4 linked regions of the Arabidopsis thaliana genome follow. The protein of the gene in region 1 interacts with the protein of each later gene in a pairwise test. Each region holds a gene or a part of one and is shown in the gene's direction. Other genes may lie near its edges. The genes, in order: SWI3B, BSH, FCA and KNAT3.

Region 1 (5,644 bases):
CCAATTCTTTTTGTAGCTCCGATGTTTCTGTCTACAGACAGAAGATTAAGCCTTTTGAGTTTGTCTATTGTTCTGATGAAGAGTTTCGCATGGTTCTTGTTATAGGTAATGAAAAGTATGCTCATTTGAAGAAGCTTGATAAAGCTGGTGACAAACTCAAGCTCTTCAAGGCTGATTTGCTCAACTACGGCTCTCTTCAATCTGCTATTGCTGGCTGCAGCGGCGTCTTCCATGTCGCTTGCCCTGTTCCATCTGCTTCAGTCCCTAATCCTGAGGTGAGGATTTCATTTTTACAATCTCATTGGTGGCTATATGCATTGTCTCACTATGGTTTCACTGGTTTTGCAGGTAGATTTGATCGCACCTGCAGTGGATGGTACGCTGAATGTGCTTAAGGCATGCGTTGAAGCAAAAGTTAAGCGTGTTGTGTATGTTTCCTCTGTATCTGCAGTTGCTATGAACCCTATGTGGTCAAAGAGTCAAGTGTTAGATGAGACCGCTTGGTCTGACCAAGATTATTGCAAAAAAACTGAGGTTAATAATGCATCTTGAATCCCTCATCTCACTTTTTTTTCTTCTTTTAAATCTGACTTTCGTCCCTCTGGCAGAATTGGTATTCTTTGTCAAAGACACGAGCAGAAAGTGAAGCTTTCGAATTTGCAAAACGAACCGGACTTGATCTCGTCAGTGTTTGCCCTACCCTTGTCTTGGGACCTGTATTGCAGCAGCACACAGTAAATGCTAGTAGCCTTGTTCTTCTCAAGCTTCTTAAAGGTATTATAAACAAGCCTCTCATTTCATCTGGGATTGTTAGAAGCAGCAACTTGGTATATGAGTTGGTATTGATTTTATACTTAAGTGTGGTGCAGAGGGTTATGAATCGCGTAATAACCAAGAACGGCATTTGGTAGATGTGCGTGATGTGGCTCAAGCTTTACTTTTGGTTTATGAGAAAGCAGAAGCTGAAGGAAGGTACATCTGCATAGGCCACACGGTTAGGGAACAAGAAGTCGCTGAGAAGCTGAAAAGTCTTTATCTAAATTACAACTACCCAAAGAGGTAAGCAAACAACAGCTGCACATCTCTCTACCCAATTTGAGTGAAAACCTTTAAACCTTAATAAGCTGTTTTTGTTACTTTCATCAGTAAACAGTGTCACTTACCTTTACATCAATGTCTCTGAAGTTTCTTTTAGACCTTACCTTTGATCTAAATTCTACTTATCCAATATCAGATACATCGAAGCGGATGGAAAAGTGAAGGTGAGTTCAGAGAAGTTGCAGAAGTTGGGTTGGACTTACCGGCCGTTGGAGGAAACACTTGTGGATTCTGTTGAGAGCTACCGCAAAGCTAAGCTTGTGGACTGAAAACTGGGAACGAATAGCATATGAGTGTTTTGGGTCCATGTGTTAAGTGTTCCTATCTGCACACGCTCTTTCATCTTTTACTCAAGAATAAGAGTTGTGCAACATATTTTCCATCATGAACTTCTGAGTTTTTGTTACTTTCTTAGACACCATTACTTTTATGACCAATCTACAATTACTCCTTCCATAACTATGTTCCAATATCTCTTTGATACGTTCCAATTTCTACCTACTTACAAAGGATAACTTCACCATTAATACATGAAATCAGTAACGCACAACTTCACCATTCGAATTAACCTCTAAGCCTAGCGTAGCAGATGCACTACATCTTGGCTGACCATGGGACTAAAAAAACATTCGCAATATTTAACAACTAAAGCCAGGTTAATGGACCTGTATTAGGGCCCAAACCAGGCCCGTTTAGATATCCGACTTTTTTTTTAACTTTGCCCATCTCGATAGCTAGATTCTCTTTTCCCTCTTCCTTCTCCGGCGAAGTTGCGTTAGTTAAACAGAGAGTCATGGCCATGAAAGCTCCCGATCCCGGCGGATCTGGGGAAATTCTCCCGAGCACTCCCTCTCTTTCCGAAACTACGTCTGGAGGCGCCGCAGCAGCTTCTAAGTCGGCTCAATTGCCGTCTTCTTCTTCCGATATCGATAATATTCACGTACCTAGCTACTCCAGTAAGTCTGCAACGCCGAGAAAACTTTGATTTATTCTACTTTCTTCACTGTTTCTTACGGATTTTGTACTTGTACCGTCTATTTAACCAATTAGGTTGGTTTTCATGGACCGACATTAACGATTGCGAGGTCCGGTCACTGCCGGAATTTTTCGATTCGAGATCTTCATCCAAAAACCCTAAGTTTTATCTCTACTTGAGGAACTCGATTATTAAGCAGTACAGAGACGACCATCCTCGGAAGATTAGTTTCACTGACGTTCGGAGAACTCTCGTCAGTGATGTTGTCTCTATTCGTCGCGTCTTTGATTTCCTCGATTCATGGGGACTTATCAACTATAATAGCTCCGCCTCTGCTAAGCCGCTCAAGTGGGAAGAAAAAGAGGCCGGAAAATCCGCCGGAGATGCTGCTTCTGAGCCAGCCACAACTGTCAAAGAAACTGCCAAGAGAAACTGCAATGGCTGCAAAGCAATTTGCAGCATAGCTTGTTTCGCCTGTGATAAGGTTTGATTTCATAATTTGTAGCCATAGTAATAATTTCATTCACTGAGTTTGTCACTTAGAATGATTATGTACATTTTTGTTTTCAGTATGACTTGACATTGTGTGCGAGGTGCTATGTTCGTAGTAATTATCGTGTTGGTATTAACTCCTCGGAGTTTAAACGAGTTGAGATTAGTGAGGAGTCAAAGCCAGAGTGGTCTGATAAGGAAATTCTGCTGCTGCTGGAAGCTGTTATGCACTATGGAGATGATTGGAAGAAGGTTGCATCGCATGTTATTGGTAGAACGGAGAAGGATTGTGTTTCTCAGTTTGTCAAGCTTCCGTTTGGGGAACAGTTTGTAAAAGAGTCTGACTCTGAGGATGGTTTAGAGATGTTTGATCAGATCAAGGACTCTGATATTCCTGAATCTGAAGGAATAGATAAAGACGGTTCTTCTCCCAACAAGCGGATCAAATTAACACCTCTTGCAGATGCAAGCAACCCAATAATGGCTCAGGTTAGAAAGACACTACAATTTGAGTAGTTGCGTTCTCTCTCTATGTTAATCTTATTTGTATAAGTCTTCAACATGCGTGGAAATGCTTTTACATTGTTAGGCTACTGAAGAATAGTCCAGTGTCTGCACTAGGCTGTTCCACGACTTGCGTTTTTGTCTCCTTAAAGAACCTAAATCTAGAATACCTTGTGGGGCTTACTTTGAAATCTAGTAATAACAAACCCTAGTTGACATATATAAGGCATTTAAGAATCAAATATGTGTTAGATAATTCTGTACTGTGTTATCACACCTCAATTGTTATGCTTCATTGGCTGTCTCTGAATAAGATTTATCCTATCATGTCCTCTTCAGGCTGCTTTTCTTTCAGCTTTGGCTGGCACAAATGTTGCAGAAGCAGCAGCTCGAGCGGCAGTGAGAGCTTTATCTGATGTAGACTACGAGGCTGACAAAAACGCCAGTAGAGACCCAAATCGACAAGGTATCAAAGACCAAGCTGTCTCTATTTGCAGTCCATTTCTGTCCTAAGCCAAACCCAATAGTGACAGTTTTGTTTTCCTGATACACAGATGCCAATGCTGCATCGAGTGGTGAAACCACTAGAAACGAATCTGAAAGAGCTTGGGCAGATGCAAAGTCTTTAATTGAGAAGGAAGAGCATGAGGTAGAAGGAGCAATCAAAGAGACTGTTGAAGTTGAGGTTAGTAACAATCTGCAACTTTCCATAGACTTTTTATTATATGGTTATACTCAATGATGATTTATGTTGGAACAAACAAAATTTGGGATTAACAGATGAAGAAGATCCGAGATAGGATTGTTCATTTCGAGAAATTGGATTTGGAAATGGAGAGAAGCCGGAAACAATTGGAGGAGGTGAGGAATCTGCTTTTCGTTGATCAATTAAACATTTTCTTCCACACCAGAAAAGCCCGGAAAACTGAAGATAGAATAGAGTGTTAGAACGCACTTAATTTGAAACTGTTATTTCTTATTTGATTCTTGTCTGGTTAAGAAGATGACTTGTATTGTAGTGTACTTGAGATGTGTTGGTAACAAAATGAGATGAGATCGAATTGGTATAAATAAGGCTGGGTTGGTATAAAAGTCAAAACCAAATGGCAACTGCGTCGAAGTATAATTTTTGTCTTTATCAGGCAATCACAAGTGGAAAAGTTTTAAAAATTAATTTTGCTCTTTTGGAAACAATAGAAAATGTCAGGGTTTTGGAGATATCCGATATAAAAGATAGATTTTGTTTTCACTAAATAGGTTAATCTTCAAATGTTGTTAAGTTACCGATGTTTTTTTTGTATCTCCGTAACATGATTACTCTCTTTGTTGCTAAAAGAGTGATGGTTTTTATATTAAGAAACAGTCATTAATTAATCATTTCTGTATTGTTTGTTATATTAAACATTTTCAATAACTATAAACCAATAGCAGTCTAACAAATTTCAATCATTTTATCTTGAACTTTACTAGTTCAGGTTTTTCAGACAAACTAAAAAAACATTGAATTTTCTGTTTTATCTCTAATTAATGTGTTATTTAATATCATATCATCAATTAATCAGCCAAAACAATAAGAATTTCTTTTGGAAAATCTTTCAAAAACATGCATTGAAAATATAAAACGATAACTAATTTAATACAAAATTTAATTTCTAAAACATAACTAATTTAGAAAGGAGTGAGTGATATTTAAAAAAAATAAAGAAAAAACGAAAATGTTTTTTTTGTGGGACAAGTTAAAAGTGGTAGAACATCAATTTATTAGAAACAAAGAGAGTGTATTTTTCTTTCTTCCCCATCGGGAAACCAAACCCAATTTATTTATATATTAAACTCGTACAATATAAAATCTTTTATATTTAACTAAAAATTCAGTAAATATCCATTCTTCGTAAATATTTAAACTCTATTTTTTCTTTTTAAAAAGATCAATTTACATCTTAAATTCAAAATATAAACCATAATATATTATGTACATATTAATACTGCATTCTAAACAATTTCCCAATATAAAAAATAAAAATATATAGAGGTAAATAACTTATCATAACTACTTTATTGATGGCCTTTATAATTAGTTTCTGCTTTGGTAGAATTTTTTAGTTCAGCCTTTATCTCGTTATCTGCATGTCTCTAATTGAGCTTTGTTGCTAAGTTTTAGCTTTTTTTTTTCTTATGCGATCACTTTGCTGGTTGTTGTGTTGGTTGGTTCGGTTCCTTGTACCTTTGATGTATCCTCTATTTCTCTTTTTATCTAGGTTAAGCTTTTTTATTAATGAAATATTAAGTTTGATTGGAAAAAAGAGGCACATTAATAGAAAGTTAGCTTTGTTGTTTAGGTTTTATTTAATATATGTACGTGTGTCATATGTCATAGGTAACAATCTTACTATTTGATTATTAAGCCGGTTTTTGCGTGACGGAACTCTTCTTGTATTTGCCATCAAGTGAAAGAAAGAGGAACATCTTTGCCATAGTTTAGTTTGCACTCTCTATTGGTAGCTTGAGTTTTCAGCTATTCGAATGTGGCCTTCTACACCTGCTTCCCTTCTATTTGACATACTTATCATGTGG
Region 2 (5,369 bases), on another chromosome or scaffold:
TCTGCTCCACAAAAACAATATACACAAAACTCTTCAAGTCTACCTTATTTTTATTGGTTCTGCAATTTTCAATGGTCTGTTACATTAATGTGTCATAAGAGACAATTGAGTTTTCTTATCAACAGAAGGGTCTAAAAAATTGATCCCCCAAGTTCATAGTCTATAGACTCAGTTTTTTTCTTTCAAATATTGATGTGTAAGAAAGTGAAAGTGATGTGATGCTCTGTTTCTGTTTACGGCTAGACAATAAAGCCTTTTTTGGCCCTTATCTCTCCTAATTAAAGAATCTGAGCAGTTGAGAAATTAAAATCAAAGCCTTAACAGATTAACTCCAACATCATTTAGACACACTTTCCTTGGATACCACCTTTTTACGGAAACTTCGAATCTTACATGTAAACAAATCTCAAAACCATAATTTCACATTTTTACTACTAACTAACTCCAAAGATCTAAACCCATGAATTAAGTATCTAATCGGGTAATTATTACAGTGGTTTTCAGAAATCAATGTGTGTTCATATTTAGAAGGTTGAAAGTTCATAGTTAAATGTGGGGAACCTTATGTTCCTATTATTTATTTATATTAAATTTCAAAGTCGATTAAATCAATTTTTAAATTCAAAATCTATGCAATAGAATCACCTACTAGTCCTTTTTTGTTTAACTAGACAGAGAGAAATAGAAATAGAGAGAGAGAGACATGAAGAGCACTCTCAATAGAGAAGAGAAGGAAGCATGAAGCTAGCTCTGCAGCTTCAAGGTCTCATTAATGGAGGTCTCTAACTCTTGTTCTTCATTTTCTTCATCCTCTGTCGACAGTACTAAACCTTCTCCTTCTGAATCTTCTGTTAATCTCTCCCTTAGTCTCACATTTCCTTCTACTTCTCCACAAAGGTCTTATTCACATCACTTCTCTGTTTTTTCCTATGTTCTGTTTTTGCTCTGTTTTCTTTTGTTCACATTTGTGTTTTAAATCTTTATTTTTTTGTAGAGAAGCAAGACAAGATTGGCCACCGATAAAGTCTAGATTAAGAGATACACTAAAGGGTCGTCGTCTTCTTCGTCGTGGTGATGACACTTCTCTCTTTGTTAAGGTTTATATGGAAGGTGTTCCCATTGGAAGAAAACTCGACCTTTGCGTATTCTCAGGCTACGAGAGTCTATTAGAAAATCTCTCTCACATGTTCGATACTTCAATCATCTGTAAGTAATTAATGAACAACACATAATTCCGTAAAAACAACATTCAACTAAATTCAAACAGTTTGAAGTATATCCATGCATTGTCTTGGCTATAACAGGCGGTAATCGAGATCGAAAACATCATGTTTTGACATATGAAGACAAGGATGGAGATTGGATGATGGTCGGAGATATTCCATGGGAGTATGAATCTTATATCTTGATCTTACATTGGTATAATTTCCTCGGTTATAGCTATTCTCTAATTTTTGAAATCGATGTTTTTGTTTAGTATGTTTCTTGAAACCGTGAGAAGACTAAAGATCACGAGACCGGAGAGGTATTAAAACTTGGATCGGTCAAGGCTGTGATTGCGCAGTTACGAGACGTGTAAGATTTAGGCATTGATGAAGAGACTTGAGGCGGGACGGAGCTATTGCTGCATATTGCAACAAAGGCCTTGAAGAAGTTGGAGAATTGATTGATGCATATATTTATTTATATGACACCTTTGAGTGTGTTTTTTCTTATAAATAAATCACAATATCCAAGACTTCTCTTTTTTGTTCTGAATAATAATAATGCAAAGATTTTTTATATGTTTGTAATCGTGTGTTTCTTCGAATGTGTTACATGACTAGGAAAAAAGTACACGAACGTTGTTATGGGGAGCACGAACATGGAATAGAGGAACGTTGTCAGGAAGAGAATGATTCTCTTTGATCTGCCGGCAGCCGTCTCGTTGGTTGTCACCAATGTACAATTTTAATGTTGAGCCCATTTAAAGCCCACTAAATGACTAACAAGCTCGTTTAAAGCCCAAATGCTGCAATTGATCGTAGGATCGGATCCAGATAATTCGTCCCAAAATGGGAAAATTCCAAATTAGAGGTGAAATGTGTAAAGACATTAGAATATAAGGGTGATTCTGAAATAAATTAAGCTAGCGCCGGAAAAAGATCGAGAAATTGAAATTTCCCACACTCTCTCGCTGACTCTCTTCGAAACTCAATTTGTGAAATTTGGGGGTTTAAGGATGAAGGGTTTAGTGTCTACTGGTTGGAAAGGTCCCGTCAAGTTCAGGATGTAAGTTTCGTCGCTTCCTCTACTTTGTTTGTTTTGAAATCGAAATCGAGTTCATGTGTTTTTGTTTTTTCTGATGAATCGATTTGTAATCGGAGCTATAGGCCCACTGCTGAAAACTTGGTACCTATTCGATTGGACATTCAATTCGAAGGTCAGCGTTACAAAGATGCTTTCACTTGGAACCCTTCAGGTTTCTCTCTTAAAAACCCTACCTTTTTTTTTGTTTTCCATCTTCTCGCATCTTATTACAGTAGCAGTGTATGTGATTCACTGATTCTTGTTTTTGGTTTTGGATACAGACCCGGATAATGAAGTCGTTATCTTTGCCAAAAGAACTGTTAAAGACTTGAAACTTCCCTATGCATTTGTCACTCAGATTGCCCAATCTATTCAGGTTGTTTCTAAACTAGTTCACACTGACCTATCTTTAGTTTTTCTTCTGCTCTGATTTTGTTGTTAGTTCTTTTGCTTGTCATAGAGATGAGCTTAAATTTAAGGTCACCTATTAGTCTTAAACCAATCACACTTTCGACTTATTGTTTTTAACTCTTTAGGTTTTTTTACTCGAGAAGAGGCCTGTTTATAGCATTGTACTTTGGGATGTATATCTGTAAGACTGTGCTTTTGTGATGAATGTACTCTTGCTTCAGTTATGTTCTGTTCTGTTTTTGTAAGTATTGGAATAATTTCTTCAGAAATCTCTACTTACATTGGTCAACTTCCTGCTTTATCAGTCTCAGCTCTCAGACTTTCGGGCTTATGAAGGACAAGACATGTACACTGGTGAAAAAATCATACCAATTAAGGTTTTATGACGCTAGATATCCTTATCCCTCTCTCTTTTGTCCATGAGTGATTTGTTGGAAAAAAAGAAGTTCTAGAAGCTGATAAGCTATCTTTCTTTCTTTTTTGTGCCAGCTTGATCTCCGAGTTAACCATACTCTCATCAAGGATCAGTTCTTATGGGTGAGAATACTTGGTGATTTTGAACAATTTCAACTATTGTTTGTACTCTTTTTCTCAGTGCAGCTTGATTGCCGTTTTGCAGGACCTAAACAATTTTGAGAGTGATCCTGAGGAATTTGCAAGAACCTTGTGCAAGGATTTAGGTGTTGAAGACCCTGAAGTTGGAGTAAGATAACCACTCAATTTTTTACATTTCATTATCTGAACTAATGAACCTAAGTTTCAAACGTTTGATACAAGTGATTTTTGGTTTCTCCTTCTCTCTGAAGCCTGCTGTTGCCTTTGCAATAAGGGAACAACTTTACGAGGTTAAAACTTTGATTGTAACTTTAAGCTACTCTCTCTGTATTTCTGTATACTCTATATATGTTTTCTATTTTGAACAAGAATGCCAAACTTACTGAGTTACCATGTCGTTGTTTTTGCTTGCCAGATTGCAATTCAAAGTGTGGCTTCAGCTAGGGAGAGTAGATTAAGCAAGAAAGGCCGCAGAGGATCTGATCATGGTTCAGCGAGGTATGTTCACGTTGCCCCTATTTGTCTATCCAAGTTACCTTGTGGTAATATTAGAGCCTAGCTCAAAAAATTCTAAAATAACTTTCCATCTTATATGTGCAGCAAGGCAAGTGGCCTGTCAATGGACTTAATGAAGTTATTCAGTTTTAAGTCCAGTGTAGTTCGGTAAGTGATTTTCTTACCCACTTAATGCATACATTTTCTCTGTTGCATTGTCTTCTTAAGATCTGTTGGACGACTGACTTCTAGCAGCTAGATCGTTTATAAGATAAGTTAACTTTGCGACACATCCTGAGCGTTTTTCTTACACATACTCTTGAATGCCACCTCTTCATGCATTATATCATTTGATAGTAGATTATCCCAATATTTGGAGCTGGTCCCTACTGAGATTGTTCTAATAGTAATTTCTGGTGATGTTACATGTTGTTATTGAACATAGAAAACCGAATCACTAGGTTGGAAATTGTTTGATTACAAAATAAACTCTGTGGAAATTGAAGAAGTTCTCTTCCTGCATTGCTTATCACTAAATGGGAGTTTTTCAAAAAATAAGATTTATGGACACGAACAAATTTGACTTGCAAGACCAAGCAAAAGCTATAACAGAATCCAAAAATAACAAATTTTGTCCATGATCTTGACAGGAAAAGGAAAGACTTGGATGTTTATGAACCAGTTGTGGATCTGCTAACAAGTGAGGAAGTTGATGCGCTTGAAGCCAGGGAAGAGAGACATGCAAGGTGAAGAGTTTCGTTTACATGTATAAATATTTCTTAGGGCAACACTCAAAATATGTTGTATCATGCTTAACTTGAGTTAATGATATTAAGACAATCTTTTATGAGACACATAATCCTTAAGATGCATCCGGTGTGTATGAGTGCCCTGGCCTAAGTATGAGATTTCGGTTTAGTAAACCTGGTTAGGTGAAACACCAGTGGGTGTGGAATGAAGAATCTTTAGATGATATAACCTCAATGGGACATGTTAGGTTTGCAGAGTTGAGTGAAACCATTTCTTCACTCTTTGATTAAGATGTTTCCCAAACTTTGAGCATGTTAAAGAATGTTAGAGAGAGAGTTAGAGGATTAAAAAAAATATAGTAATGAAAGAAAGAAAGAAAAATGAAGGAGATTCAAAGGACAAGACACGTTGTGAGAATCAAGTGACCCACTTGAGACTTTAATAAGATCTCATCATCAACCATTAACCTCACTGTCGATATACGGTCGTACTTTTTCTTCTATTCTCTTCTCTTTGCCCTTTTTTTTTTCTCTTTTTCTTGATTCAATGATTGGGTCCCTCTCTAAGCTCAAGCTGCTGTCATCTAAATTAATTAATATGCGAAAATAAAAATTATTGGGTTTATTTTTGTTGGAAGTTTTGTAATTTTGTGTAGAGATTATTGATCAGTTTTTGGTTGTGTACATTTATGAGTTGTACTTGTGCCCTATCCTTTGAAGGTTACATGGATAAACAAGTTAATGTCTTGAATCGGCTGAGTCTTTATTATAGAATCAATTTGATGAATAAGTTAAAAATTTGAAGCTGGTTTTAATATTCGACACCAATATAGCAATCAACCTAACTGAAATTGAAGAAAACTATGTTAT
Region 3 (5,446 bases), on another chromosome or scaffold:
TTTTTCTGGTCGAGTACTCTTTTGTTTAAAAATTTCTTTAATTTCGTAACTTTTTGTTTCTATGAATCAAAGATCAAAATTACAATTTGTTATTGGATTTCAACGAATCCAATATATTTTTATTAATCCCAATAAAGTAACGTAAAAGGCAGAATACTTTACTAGTGTTATAATTTATATAGTTAACTAAAATTAGGTTTATGAAATACTATTTTACTAGAAATAAATACCCGATCGACCATGTTGAATTATTATTTTTATACATTAAATTTTTCGATTATATACTTCGAATTCTTGGGTCATAATCTAAATCTAAAAACTAATAACTTTTAAAATTGATTCACATAATAAATTCAAAACTAATAGCTTACACCACAATATAAATTAGTATTTTTTAATCTTAATATATTATGCCACAATCATCTACGTACTTGGATTATTATATGTACTAACCTTTCAGCTTCATTTCTAATTAACATGCAATCACTTAAATGATTTGCAGCATGACTCTTCATTAATGCAATGTAATAACATCAAAATTTAATTAAACGTCAATTACCGTTTCACTCTTCCATTATAAAAAGAAGTAACAAAAAAGTTCTCCCTAAAGATTTTGCTTGCCTGAAAAAAGTATGAATTGCATCAAACAATTTCTCTTGGCAATTTGCTTTTCTCTGGCCCTAACATGTCAAGACCATGTCTTAGTCGGCGGCACCACCACGAGAGACATTATAGTCCCGAAGATTTCTGAGTGGCAAGTCACGGTTGTTAACGGTTTGACAACTGGTGAAACTCTTTTCATCCATTGTAAATCTAAAGAAGATGATCTAGGTGAAATTAATCTGAAGTTTAGAAATAGATTTTCTTGGAACTTCGGAGAAAATATGCTTCACTCAACTTTTTTTTGGTGCTATATGAACAAAGATAATGGTCATATGAATGTAAACGTGTTTTGGGATGATGTTATCTTGTTCCATAGATGCGGTTGGAAGAATTGCATTTGGACTGCAAAAACTGATGGCCTTTATCTTTGGAATTCAGCGAGCGGTGAAGATGTATTGTCAAGAAAATGGGAAGTTGGATGGTGAAGCCATATTTTTGCTTTTTGGTAATTTTTTAGTACATGTATCTTGTTGTTTTTGGCAAAAAAAAAATTGAAATAATAAAAAACATTTGTTTTAACTTTCTCTCTTATTTTGTGTATTTTTCATCAATGATAGATTTTTTGTTTTAGTTCTTTATTTATAGGTCATTTAATTATTAGATTAATTTTCTGAGATAATAAGATCATAGATTAAATAACAATATTGTGTTTGTGATATATAGAGATTACATTTTACACTTATATATATTGGTAAGATTTCTTTTTGCTTTCAAACCATTAAAAACCTGTTAAACGATTAACTTGACTCAAGACAAAGCCATTGATTATTGACTCATGAATCTAGTGACTCATGATGAAGGAGACGAACAGTAAATATTCATTTGATTATTTTAGGTAAAAGGTAGTTCAGACCTAGTCATATATCCTCTAAATTCATATAGTGATGCAAGTATTTTGCATTACTTAGAACTTTATATTATTGATCACCCAACACATGATTTAATAAACGCCATGAAATGCATGTACTATATCAAAATGTTTCTGAAGCATATAGTTGACATGAGAATTTTGGATTGGACTTAAGAATGTGAGAGTTACCTGAAATGTCAATTTTTTTCCTTTTGTTAACGAAAACTCATTGGAACAATTGTATCCCCCTTTTGGCAGTATATAAATATATTGATGGCCCAAGTAGCTGTATTTTTCGTTATCAGCCAAGACTCAATAAAGTCTACCGGTCCAAATTTCAACTGAATCACCGGTCCAACCACTATTACCGTAACTAGACCGCTTTTTCTTTTTTACATTCGGACAAAAAAATCAAAATTTCGAGCAACTAAATTGATCTCATCTTCAATCAAATTCATCATCTTCGATACTCGTTTCTTCTCTCTTTGGTTTCATACAGATCCCAAATTTCTAGGGCTCCTAGTCCTTTGATTTCTTCGACTGGAATCGCAATTCCCCACTACGTCAAGCTGGACAGACACCGAAGGGATCGCCATGAGAGTGGCGGCTACGAGGATTCCTACCATAACCACCGAGCCCATCCCAGAGGTCCATCTCGTCCCTCAGATTCACGCTTCGAAGAGGATGATGATGATTTTCGCCGCCACCGTCGTCGTCGTGGAAGCAGCCCTAGCAATTATCGAATTGGAATTGGGGGCGGAGGAGGAGGTAATGGTGGTCGACGCTGGGAAGATGACACTCCTAAGGATTTTGATGGTCCCGGAGATGGAGGTTTCCGGCAGATGAATGGTCCCCCAGATAGAGTAGATTTTAAGCCTATGGGTCCTCACCATGGTGGAAGTTTTCGGCCTATGGGGTTTGCCTACGATGATGGTTTTCGTCCAATGGGTCCTAACGGTGGTGTGGGAGGAGAAGGGACACGGTCAATTGTTGGAGCTCGGTATAACTATCCCGCGAAGTATCCTCCTTCAGAGAGTCCAGACAGGAGGAGATTTATCGGTAAAGCAATGGAGTCTGATTATTCTGTAAGACCGACTACACCGCCGGTCCAGCAGCCTCTTTCCGGTCAGAAAAGAGGGTATCCTATCTCAGACCATGGCAGCTTTACTGGAACTGGTAAGCATGAGTTCACTCTTCTTTCTTCTATGTATATTTATTCTTGTAGTCTGTTAAGGTTCCTGAGTGTCTCTTATTTTTGTGGGAATCAATGATTAGAGTATTGAAAGGTAGTATGGTTGTTATGTTACTGTATTGTTGAAGGTTTTTCATGGGATCGACTCTAGAGGATCCTTTCGATTTTCCCATGTATGTGATAATCAAAACTATATGCCATCTTCATGTGTATCCTTATCTGGTTAATTTGATTTGCAGATGTCTCTGATCGTAGCAGTACAGTCAAGCTTTTTGTTGGATCTGTACCAAGGACAGCTACAGAAGAAGAAGTGAGTTAATCTTGGAAATCATTGTTATCTATATACTCATTACTGAGAACCTTTTCTAAATTTTTTCTGTTGGTTTTCATATTGTAGATCCGTCCCTATTTCGAACAGCATGGAAATGTTCTGGAGGTTGCTCTGATCAAGGACAAGAGAACTGGACAGCAGCAAGGTATGTCAATCTCCATTTTATTAGGAAATAGTCGTGAATTATACTTTTTAAAATTTCAGGTCTCCCTGAAAAGGCTGATGGGAAGCAACCCCAGTCTCATCATTGGCCTCCAATTGTTTGCAACAATTTTCGGGCTTATTGCTTATGCTTGCCAGCGTCTTATCTGTGTTCGATTCTGTCACAGAAGAAGGCTACCTGTGCTAAGAAAGGGTTTATGTACTTATGTTGGGCAAATAGATTTCGCTACTTGTGTGTATTCTAGAACTTTAGATGTGTTTGAAAAGTGTAGAATTTATTGAGGGTGTTTTAGAGTTGGAGTTAATGTACAGAGAACTGAATTTTGCTGTTGCCTTTATAGTGGGAATTGGTTATAAGAACATCGCTATTTTCCTCTCCTATTGAAATTCATTTTCTTTACTCTTCCTCTAGATGGATTGAAGATGTTGTGTATGGTCTTGACAGGATGAATGTATTTTTTTAAGTTGGTAGTTTGATAAGGACATGAGGTTCAAAAGATGGTTTCTTGATTTGCCACTCCTGCTGGTCAAAGATTTGGCCGTCTTTCTAATTTTATCATGTTGGAGGTTTGGCGTCTTCATTTTCTTTCATATCAATTTATGGGTGTGCTGTCTATTGGTTAATGATGGCATTCCTTTTACCTTTTTGGATGAGTGATGCTGGAATGAATGCGTTTCTCCTTTTCTTTTGTTGATGGCCTGAGGAACTATGATGGCTATATTTCTTTCCACTCTCTTTGAATGGCCTGAAATGTGTGCTTTCTGTATGGTCGTCCCTCTCAATTTCTTGGATGGCTTGTGATGTGATATACCATCTCTCGTCATAGGTGAATGAATGATTTGTTTAGTAGTTCTTATGTATGTATTTTGTATGTTCCCACGTCTCTATTCCTTGGATGGCTTGTGATGTGATATACCATCTCTCGTCATAGATGAATGAATATTTTGTTGAGTAGCTCTTATGTCTGTATGGTGGCCCTTGCAGTGCTGATCGATATTTATGTGGAAGAAATGTTTGATGATAGATTTTTTTTGTATGCTCCCTTTTCGCTAATCAAGCCTTTGTGCTTGCAAGGTGCAACTGTTATTTTATTATTGAATTTCCTGTTCTACTACTCCATTTAGTTCTGTCTCTATTTTGTCAGTGTGAAGAAATACTAGACGATGAATGGTGTGTTTGTACGTGCATAGTTATTTATAAATTCTTGACTTTCCAAGAAGTTATTATTTCTATAACTGCTACACCTTTGTGGATGGCAGAACAAATGCATCTGATTGTGGTGACATAAACACTTTTGATCGCGGTTGAATGTACTAGATTCCATACAACTCTTTCTTCAGCCTTGTGAAATATTATTATGTTAGGTGGTGCAAACATATGGAAGGAACCTGATTGTTTTAGTTTCTTAGAATAGTTTCTGATGTTAATACAGCATGTTGACTTCACTCTCTTGCCCTTGATCAATCAGCATCAGGCAGGGGCCTAATTATGTATTACATGAAGCAATCGTATTCTTTTCTGAATTAGATTTTTTTCCAATGAGTTATCTTGCCCATAACTGTAGTTCTTTATTTGAAGTCTTCAAATGCTTGATGTATGGTGACGAAAATGTGTATATGTTTTGGTTTTGATTATCCGCTACTCATCAATTATTGAGATTCTTACATACTGAATCCGTTACTTTGGACCTATAGTTATGTTTTATGTTGCTAATTAACTTGTACATGTTTCTAGATTTTCTTTCAAATGGATCCTGCTTGGACAAATGCAGCCACCCTTTGTCTGAAAGGCCCTCTTGTAGATATGTTATCTGCAGATACTGACTGTGTTCAATTTTTTAATATTTGTTTTTGCCATATTCTCCATTTGAAGACATTAATTTATTCTCTCCAACAACTTTACATCAATATTTAAGTGGAGGCTGTCAGACATGTCTTATGATTTTCCTACTGAACTTATGTGCTTTGAGTAGTACATCTTGTTACTAGTACAATTTGATGGTAGAAGGAAAAGTTGAACCCTGAAACAGATAGCTTAAGTATCAGTCTTTAATGCAGGCTGTTGTTTTGTAAAATATGCAACTTCGAAAGATGCGGATAGAGCCATCAGAGCACTGCACAATCAGATCACTCTTCCTGGGGTAATTACCCTGAGGCTTTCTCTTATCAAGAACAGGAAACTATAGGTTGTTTCACCTTTTATAATTTTGTTGATTCCCAGGGAACTGGTCCTGTTCAAGTTCGATAT
Region 4 (5,570 bases), on another chromosome or scaffold:
TTGGGACAACTTCGGCGTTTTTTTGGTTGAGTAAGATGACATGTGGCTCGACATTCATAACTATTGTGAATAAAATAAATTGATTTATGTAATGATTGGACACATTTGATGAAGTGGTTTCTTGAAAATAAGACTTTGGATGGATGCAGTGTGGACAAACCGGTATAATTTGTTTGCGGTTTAGTTTATCTGGCAGACAAAAAACCGTTGCAGACCAAGTTTATTTGTATGTAAAAATGGTCTGCAGATGGTCCGTTGCGGTTTTCTTCTATTTTTTTTAGATCACTACGAACTATAATTAATAAATAATAAATAAAAAACGGTATGATCCGTTGACGGTTTTATCCGCCCCAACCGCCATAACCATTCAAATCCTAAATAAAAACGGTTTTGATAATATAAGAACCAGCCCAAAGATGAAGTTATATATGTGACTATGTTAACACACATTTATAGTATGAGTTAACCTAGACCTATTTGCGTCTCACTTCTTATTAAATGCTAAAAATTTACCAAAAGGACGCTATTCATCACAATTAAGTTTAAATCTCTAAATTAATTGATCGTTTAAGTTTTTAACCAAACTCAAATAAATAAAAAAATATACGATAACTTTTATTGTGACGATCGAATATACTACCATCAAATTTTATACCAAATTTCTGTTTCGTAGCATGTACGAAAATTTTCACTCCAAAAAAAATCTAAAAATTATATTTACCAAAAACTGTGATTTCAGAAAATTATGTGATTTTAAAGAACCAGTGATTTCTCAAATTATATTATATGAAATGATTATTATTATTTTAAAAAGGTGAAAGGGTGAAGCAAAAAAATAGTGTGCATAAACAAATAAGCTAATTTGTTTTCTGGTACTTAGGTCTTTTAAATCCATATAAATAAATTCTTAAAAGATTGTTTTATTTCAAATCTTTAACCTAAAATTGTAACTTTAAATTCATGATTAAATTTTTTGTTTTCAATAATTTCTCGTAACTTCATTACATAAAACGAGAAGGATTTATAATAGGTAAAGGCGTGAAGCAAAAAATAATTGTATAAATAAATAAGTTAAATTTGTTTCATAGTGCCATAAAATTACACTAACATCTGAACGTGAAACGCACGCGCTTCTTCATATCATAGATACGTTGCGTCTTAAAACACAACACGTAGCAACTCTTTTTAAAAAGGAAAAATACATTTATTATTCCCAACAATAAAAAAAATCAAACACAGTCGAAGAAGGCAACGACCTTTCGCAGCCGTCAGATCTTAATAAATACAGTCGCCACTAAAATTTAACGACATAGATCGAACCATGACGACCTACTTTCTTTAATTAATTTTCTGTCGTGACCTAATCTTCTATTTGTTGTTTCATTAGTCACTTACTTTTATATTTATTCTTTCTTAGGTCTATGTGGACCAAAGTGATTGGAAAAGAAAAAAAAATACATTTTTGTCAACCATAACTAAATTATCTTATTTTCTCAAATGCACTGTTTATTATGTAGCGTACTGATTTATTAAATACTTTTGCTTTCTATGGTTAATTTATGATGTCGGATTTTTATCTTTCCCCCAATAATAATATCACTATAGAAGAAAGTTTACAAATTCTTAGTTAAATCAAAAAAGATTTTATCAGTTGATTTGATTATACGAGGTGACATCAATTTTTGTCTTCTTTAACAAAAAAAATCAATTTTTGTTTTCTTTAACAAAAAAAATCAATTTTTGTCTTACTTTTTAATTAGCATTTAGAAAAATATTTAACAAATAAAAGTTCTCATAAGCGATTTTTAAAAAAATGTTTTGTTTTTACTATCTTTCAGTTTTTTTTTTTAAATTAATTTTCTAAAAAAACACATATATTAAAAAACATATTAAAACTAATTATAAACATATTATCTTTTGTGATTTATATTTTTTTATAATTCTAAACCAATGATATTCAATTATTTATCTTAAAATTAAAAATTTATCAATAATAACTAATAAATAATGTATAGAAAATTTAAAAATTATTTTTTTTAAAACAATTTTTTTCCTCTAAAAAATTAAATAATAAGGAATAGAGAAGGAATATTTTTTTATCTAATAAATTCCATATAATAATTCAATTATATTGATAAATAGGTTGCAAAAAATAAGAAAGAATAAATATGAGAATAAATGGTCATCTCTCGATCTCTCAGCTCTGTGCAACTCTGAACACACCCACACATATATACTCAGATACATACATACACACCACAAAAACCAATTATTTTCCAATTTTAAGAAAAGTTTCTGTGTCTTTTTTTTTTTTTTTGGTGATAATTGAAACATATGAAACAATCGTCGTCATAGAAGCAGCAGAGATTCACCTTCTTTCTTTATCTTTCCCTCTCAGAAACAGGAAACAAAATTCAAAAAGAACAAAAAAAAAAAGGTCAAACCAAAACGATGGCGTTTCATCACAATCATCTCTCACAAGACCTCTCCTTCAATCATTTCACCGACCAACACCAACCTCCACCTCCGCAACCGCCTCCTCCTCCTCCGCAACAGCAACAACATTTCCAAGAAGCACCGCCTCCTAATTGGTTAAACACAGCGCTTCTTCGTTCCTCAGATAACAACAATAACTTCCTCAACCTCCACACAGCCACCGCTAACACCACAACCGCAAGCAGCTCCGATTCTCCTTCCTCCGCCGCCGCCGCCGCCGCTGCTAACCAGTGGCTATCTCGCTCCTCCTCTTTCCTCCAACGAAACAACAACAACAACGCTTCCATAGTCGGAGATGGGATCGATGATGTCACCGGAGGAGCAGACACTATGATTCAGGGAGAGATGAAAACCGGCGGTGGAGAAAACAAAAACGACGGCGGAGGAGCTACGGCGGCGGATGGAGTAGTGAGCTGGCAGAATGCGAGACACAAGGCGGAGATCCTTTCGCATCCTCTTTACGAGCAGCTTTTGTCGGCGCACGTTGCTTGTTTGAGAATCGCGACTCCGGTTGATCAGCTTCCGAGAATCGATGCTCAGCTTGCTCAGTCTCAACACGTCGTCGCTAAATACTCAGCTTTAGGCGCCGCCGCTCAAGGTCTCGTCGGCGACGATAAAGAACTTGACCAGTTCATGGTATATAAATTTCAGATTTTTTTGTTCTATAATTTTATAATTAACGATTTCATAATTATACTTAGCACAAATTTTAATAATACACACCGACTTAGGTTTCTTGATTTTTGAAATCTTAAAATATTAAAATCAAGATTTGTGTTTTTAGGGATAAACAAGACTAAAATCCCAAAAAAAGAGCTTATGATATAATAATGGTCATGATGATGAAGAAAATACAAATTTTGTTCTTTGTGTTTATTGTGTGTTTGATTAATGTTTTTTTTATGGTGTAGACACATTATGTGTTGCTACTGTGTTCATTTAAAGAGCAATTGCAACAACATGTGCGTGTTCATGCAATGGAAGCTGTGATGGCTTGTTGGGAGATTGAGCAGTCTCTTCAAAGCTTAACAGGTGAGAAAATGAATCCTGTGATTAGCTCATGAATCCAATAGTTAGTTTTATGACATTGACAAGTTTTGTGTTTTATTGGTGAGATTAGGAGTGTCTCCTGGAGAAGGGATGGGAGCAACAATGTCTGACGATGAAGATGAACAAGTAGAGAGTGATGCTAATATGTTCGATGGGGGATTAGATGTGTTGGGTTTTGGTCCTTTGATTCCTACTGAGAGTGAGAGGTCGTTGATGGAAAGAGTTAGACAAGAACTTAAACATGAACTCAAACAGGTAATAATCAACAAACTTGTTCTTTGAACTAGTTCATGAACTAACAATGTAGAGGGCTTTGTCTTGTTGATGAAAAGGGTTACAAGGAGAAGATAGTAGACATAAGAGAGGAGATATTAAGGAAGAGAAGAGCTGGGAAGTTACCAGGAGATACCACCTCTGTTCTCAAAGCTTGGTGGCAATCTCATTCCAAATGGCCTTACCCTACTGTGAGTTCACTCATCTAACATCTCTTTATAACTTCTTCAAGTTCATTCATTGAGCCATAACCAAATATTGGTTTGTAGGAGGAAGATAAGGCGAGGTTGGTGCAAGAGACAGGTTTGCAGCTAAAACAGATAAACAATTGGTTCATCAATCAGAGAAAGAGGAACTGGCATAGCAATCCATCTTCTTCCACTGTATTGAAGAACAAACGCAAAAGGTATTATTATACTTTAATATAGTCTTGTAACATAACCGAAAAACTTATGGATCGGACTCAAAGAAGACTGAAACTTTTGTTTGTCTGATGAAAGCAATGCAGGTGACAATAGCGGAAGAGAGCGGTTCGCGTAGAAACAACAAACATATGATGTGAATTGGGGAGGTGGAAGATGGGATTTGAAAGCAGGGTTTTAGGGATTTAAAGTTGAGAATTTTATGGAGGAGTTTGGATTATACAGAGAGAGGGGACAGTATTAGAAAGTAACTTTTTGTGCAATTACATAGTAACGTAGTTTGGTTATGTGATTATGCCCATATATTTTATTAAGTAGCACACAAACCAAAAAGAAAATATGAAAACTGAAGATGCAGGCTTTTGTTTAATGTTTTTTGTTTGTTTGTCTGCATGAGTTTTTTTTTTATGAACCATCAGATAATCATCATCATCATCCATAATATATCTTGTGAATAAAGATAGTGAGAGAGGAGAACATTGGGATGCACAAGTTTTCTTAATCTACTAGTATATGTTACGCATTGACCAGGTGCATATGTTAATTTGTATCGCACCACTTGGTTAGCTTAATCTATGTGACTATTATACAGTATATGTTTCGCATTAACCGTACTTAACCCATCTTATGATTCTTATCCGCTTAGTTCGTAGTATTTATTGCGATGTCACATTCCAACTCGTGATATTGGCTTGATAAGTAAAAGACATTATACATGGTAGATGACGACAAAAAATAAAACATACCCCATCTTACATAACGTAGCTTGCTGCGTACTTTTGTAATTGTAATAATTTGAAACGTGTTCTTTTTTCTAGTCAAAATTGTTTGTTTATCCTCATCTTGTTGTTTCGTTTGTCACGTTTGTGATAGCCACAAGTTACTGTAAGTTTTCGGCGAGATTTTTCTATCGATCACGGAGAGATTCTGCACACATTAACAAAGATAATTAGAGTGTCCTTAAGTATTTTGGTCGCCTCTCTATTAGAGGACCATACAAAGTTCAAAGACTAGTCTCATGAGAAGCCCATTAGTACATTAGATTAAATCTAGGAAAGTAGATTCATATAAGTAGTTTTGTAATGAACATCAAAGTTGTTAACTTAGAGAATTGTCATTTGGATTGTATAAATGGTTTGATAAACGAAGTCTAACATTAGTATGTGTTAGTCTTCTAAATTCAAATAATAATCGGAGTTTTGGTCTCTTGGACGATGCTTCACAGTGATATTCAAAAGTTTACCGTTATCACCCACCAACTAGAGAAGCCAAATTAGGTCTTTTACCAACTGTAGGGTAAAGAACTGTCTTCATGTAATCATTATAACC

Evidence for each region.
Region 2: the proteins of SWI3B (region 1) and BSH interact in a two-hybrid assay, tested with the Arabidopsis thaliana proteins (one study listed by BioGRID).
Region 3: the proteins of SWI3B (region 1) and FCA interact in a two-hybrid assay, tested with the Arabidopsis thaliana proteins (one study listed by BioGRID).
Region 4: the proteins of SWI3B (region 1) and KNAT3 interact in a two-hybrid assay, tested with the Arabidopsis thaliana proteins (2 studies listed by BioGRID).

The regions. Positions count from the first base shown.
Region 1 is NC_003071.7:14,227,132-14,232,775, forward strand, and holds SWI3B (switch subunit 3), read left to right. Parts: upstream 1-1,840; 5' UTR 1,841-1,891; coding exon 1,892-2,054; intron 2,055-2,148; coding exon 2,149-2,558; intron 2,559-2,644; coding exon 2,645-3,055; intron 3,056-3,409; coding exon 3,410-3,536; intron 3,537-3,624; coding exon 3,625-3,755; intron 3,756-3,850; coding exon 3,851-4,018; 3' UTR 4,019-4,277; downstream 4,278-5,644. Other genes in the region: CRL2 (NAD(P)-binding Rossmann-fold superfamily protein), read left to right, coding at 106-275, 349-534, 609-774, 870-1,059, 1,235-1,367. UniProt on the Arabidopsis thaliana protein: Component of a multiprotein complex equivalent of the SWI/SNF complex, an ATP-dependent chromatin-remodeling complex, which is required for the positive and negative regulation of gene expression of a large number of genes.
Region 2 is NC_003074.8:6,016,444-6,021,812, reverse strand, and holds BSH (transcription regulatory protein SNF5, putative (BSH)), read left to right. Parts: upstream 1-2,146; 5' UTR 2,147-2,221; coding exon 2,222-2,271; intron 2,272-2,366; coding exon 2,367-2,461; intron 2,462-2,570; coding exon 2,571-2,665; intron 2,666-3,005; coding exon 3,006-3,077; intron 3,078-3,189; coding exon 3,190-3,237; intron 3,238-3,319; coding exon 3,320-3,403; intron 3,404-3,506; coding exon 3,507-3,545; intron 3,546-3,670; coding exon 3,671-3,753; intron 3,754-3,855; coding exon 3,856-3,918; intron 3,919-4,400; coding exon 4,401-4,500; 3' UTR 4,501-4,601; downstream 4,602-5,369. Other genes in the region: IAA31 (indole-3-acetic acid inducible 31), read left to right, coding at 773-897, 995-1,206, 1,305-1,389, 1,478-1,532. UniProt on the Arabidopsis thaliana protein: Component of a multiprotein complex equivalent of the yeast SWI/SNF complex, an ATP-dependent chromatin-remodeling complex, which is required for the positive and negative regulation of gene expression of a large number of genes.
Region 3 is NC_003075.7:9,211,322-9,216,767, reverse strand, and holds the start of FCA (flowering time control protein FCA), read left to right. Parts: upstream 1-1,942; 5' UTR 1,943-2,355; coding exon 2,356-2,689; intron 2,690-2,944; coding exon 2,945-3,015; intron 3,016-3,102; coding exon 3,103-3,181; exon of another isoform or gene 3,182-5,256; coding exon 5,257-5,339; intron 5,340-5,419; coding exon 5,420-5,446. Other genes in the region: SPH1 (S-protein homologue 1), read left to right, coding at 633-1,088. UniProt on the Arabidopsis thaliana protein: Plays a major role in the promotion of the transition of the vegetative meristem to reproductive development. Plays a role in the regulation of flowering time in the autonomous flowering pathway by decreasing FLOWERING LOCUS C mRNA levels.
Region 4 is NC_003076.8:8,733,757-8,739,326, forward strand, and holds KNAT3 (homeobox protein knotted-1-like 3), read left to right. Parts: upstream 1-2,187; 5' UTR 2,188-2,451; coding exon 2,452-3,132; intron 3,133-3,407; coding exon 3,408-3,528; intron 3,529-3,616; coding exon 3,617-3,801; intron 3,802-3,878; coding exon 3,879-4,010; intron 4,011-4,088; coding exon 4,089-4,225; intron 4,226-4,319; coding exon 4,320-4,359; 3' UTR 4,360-4,845; downstream 4,846-5,570.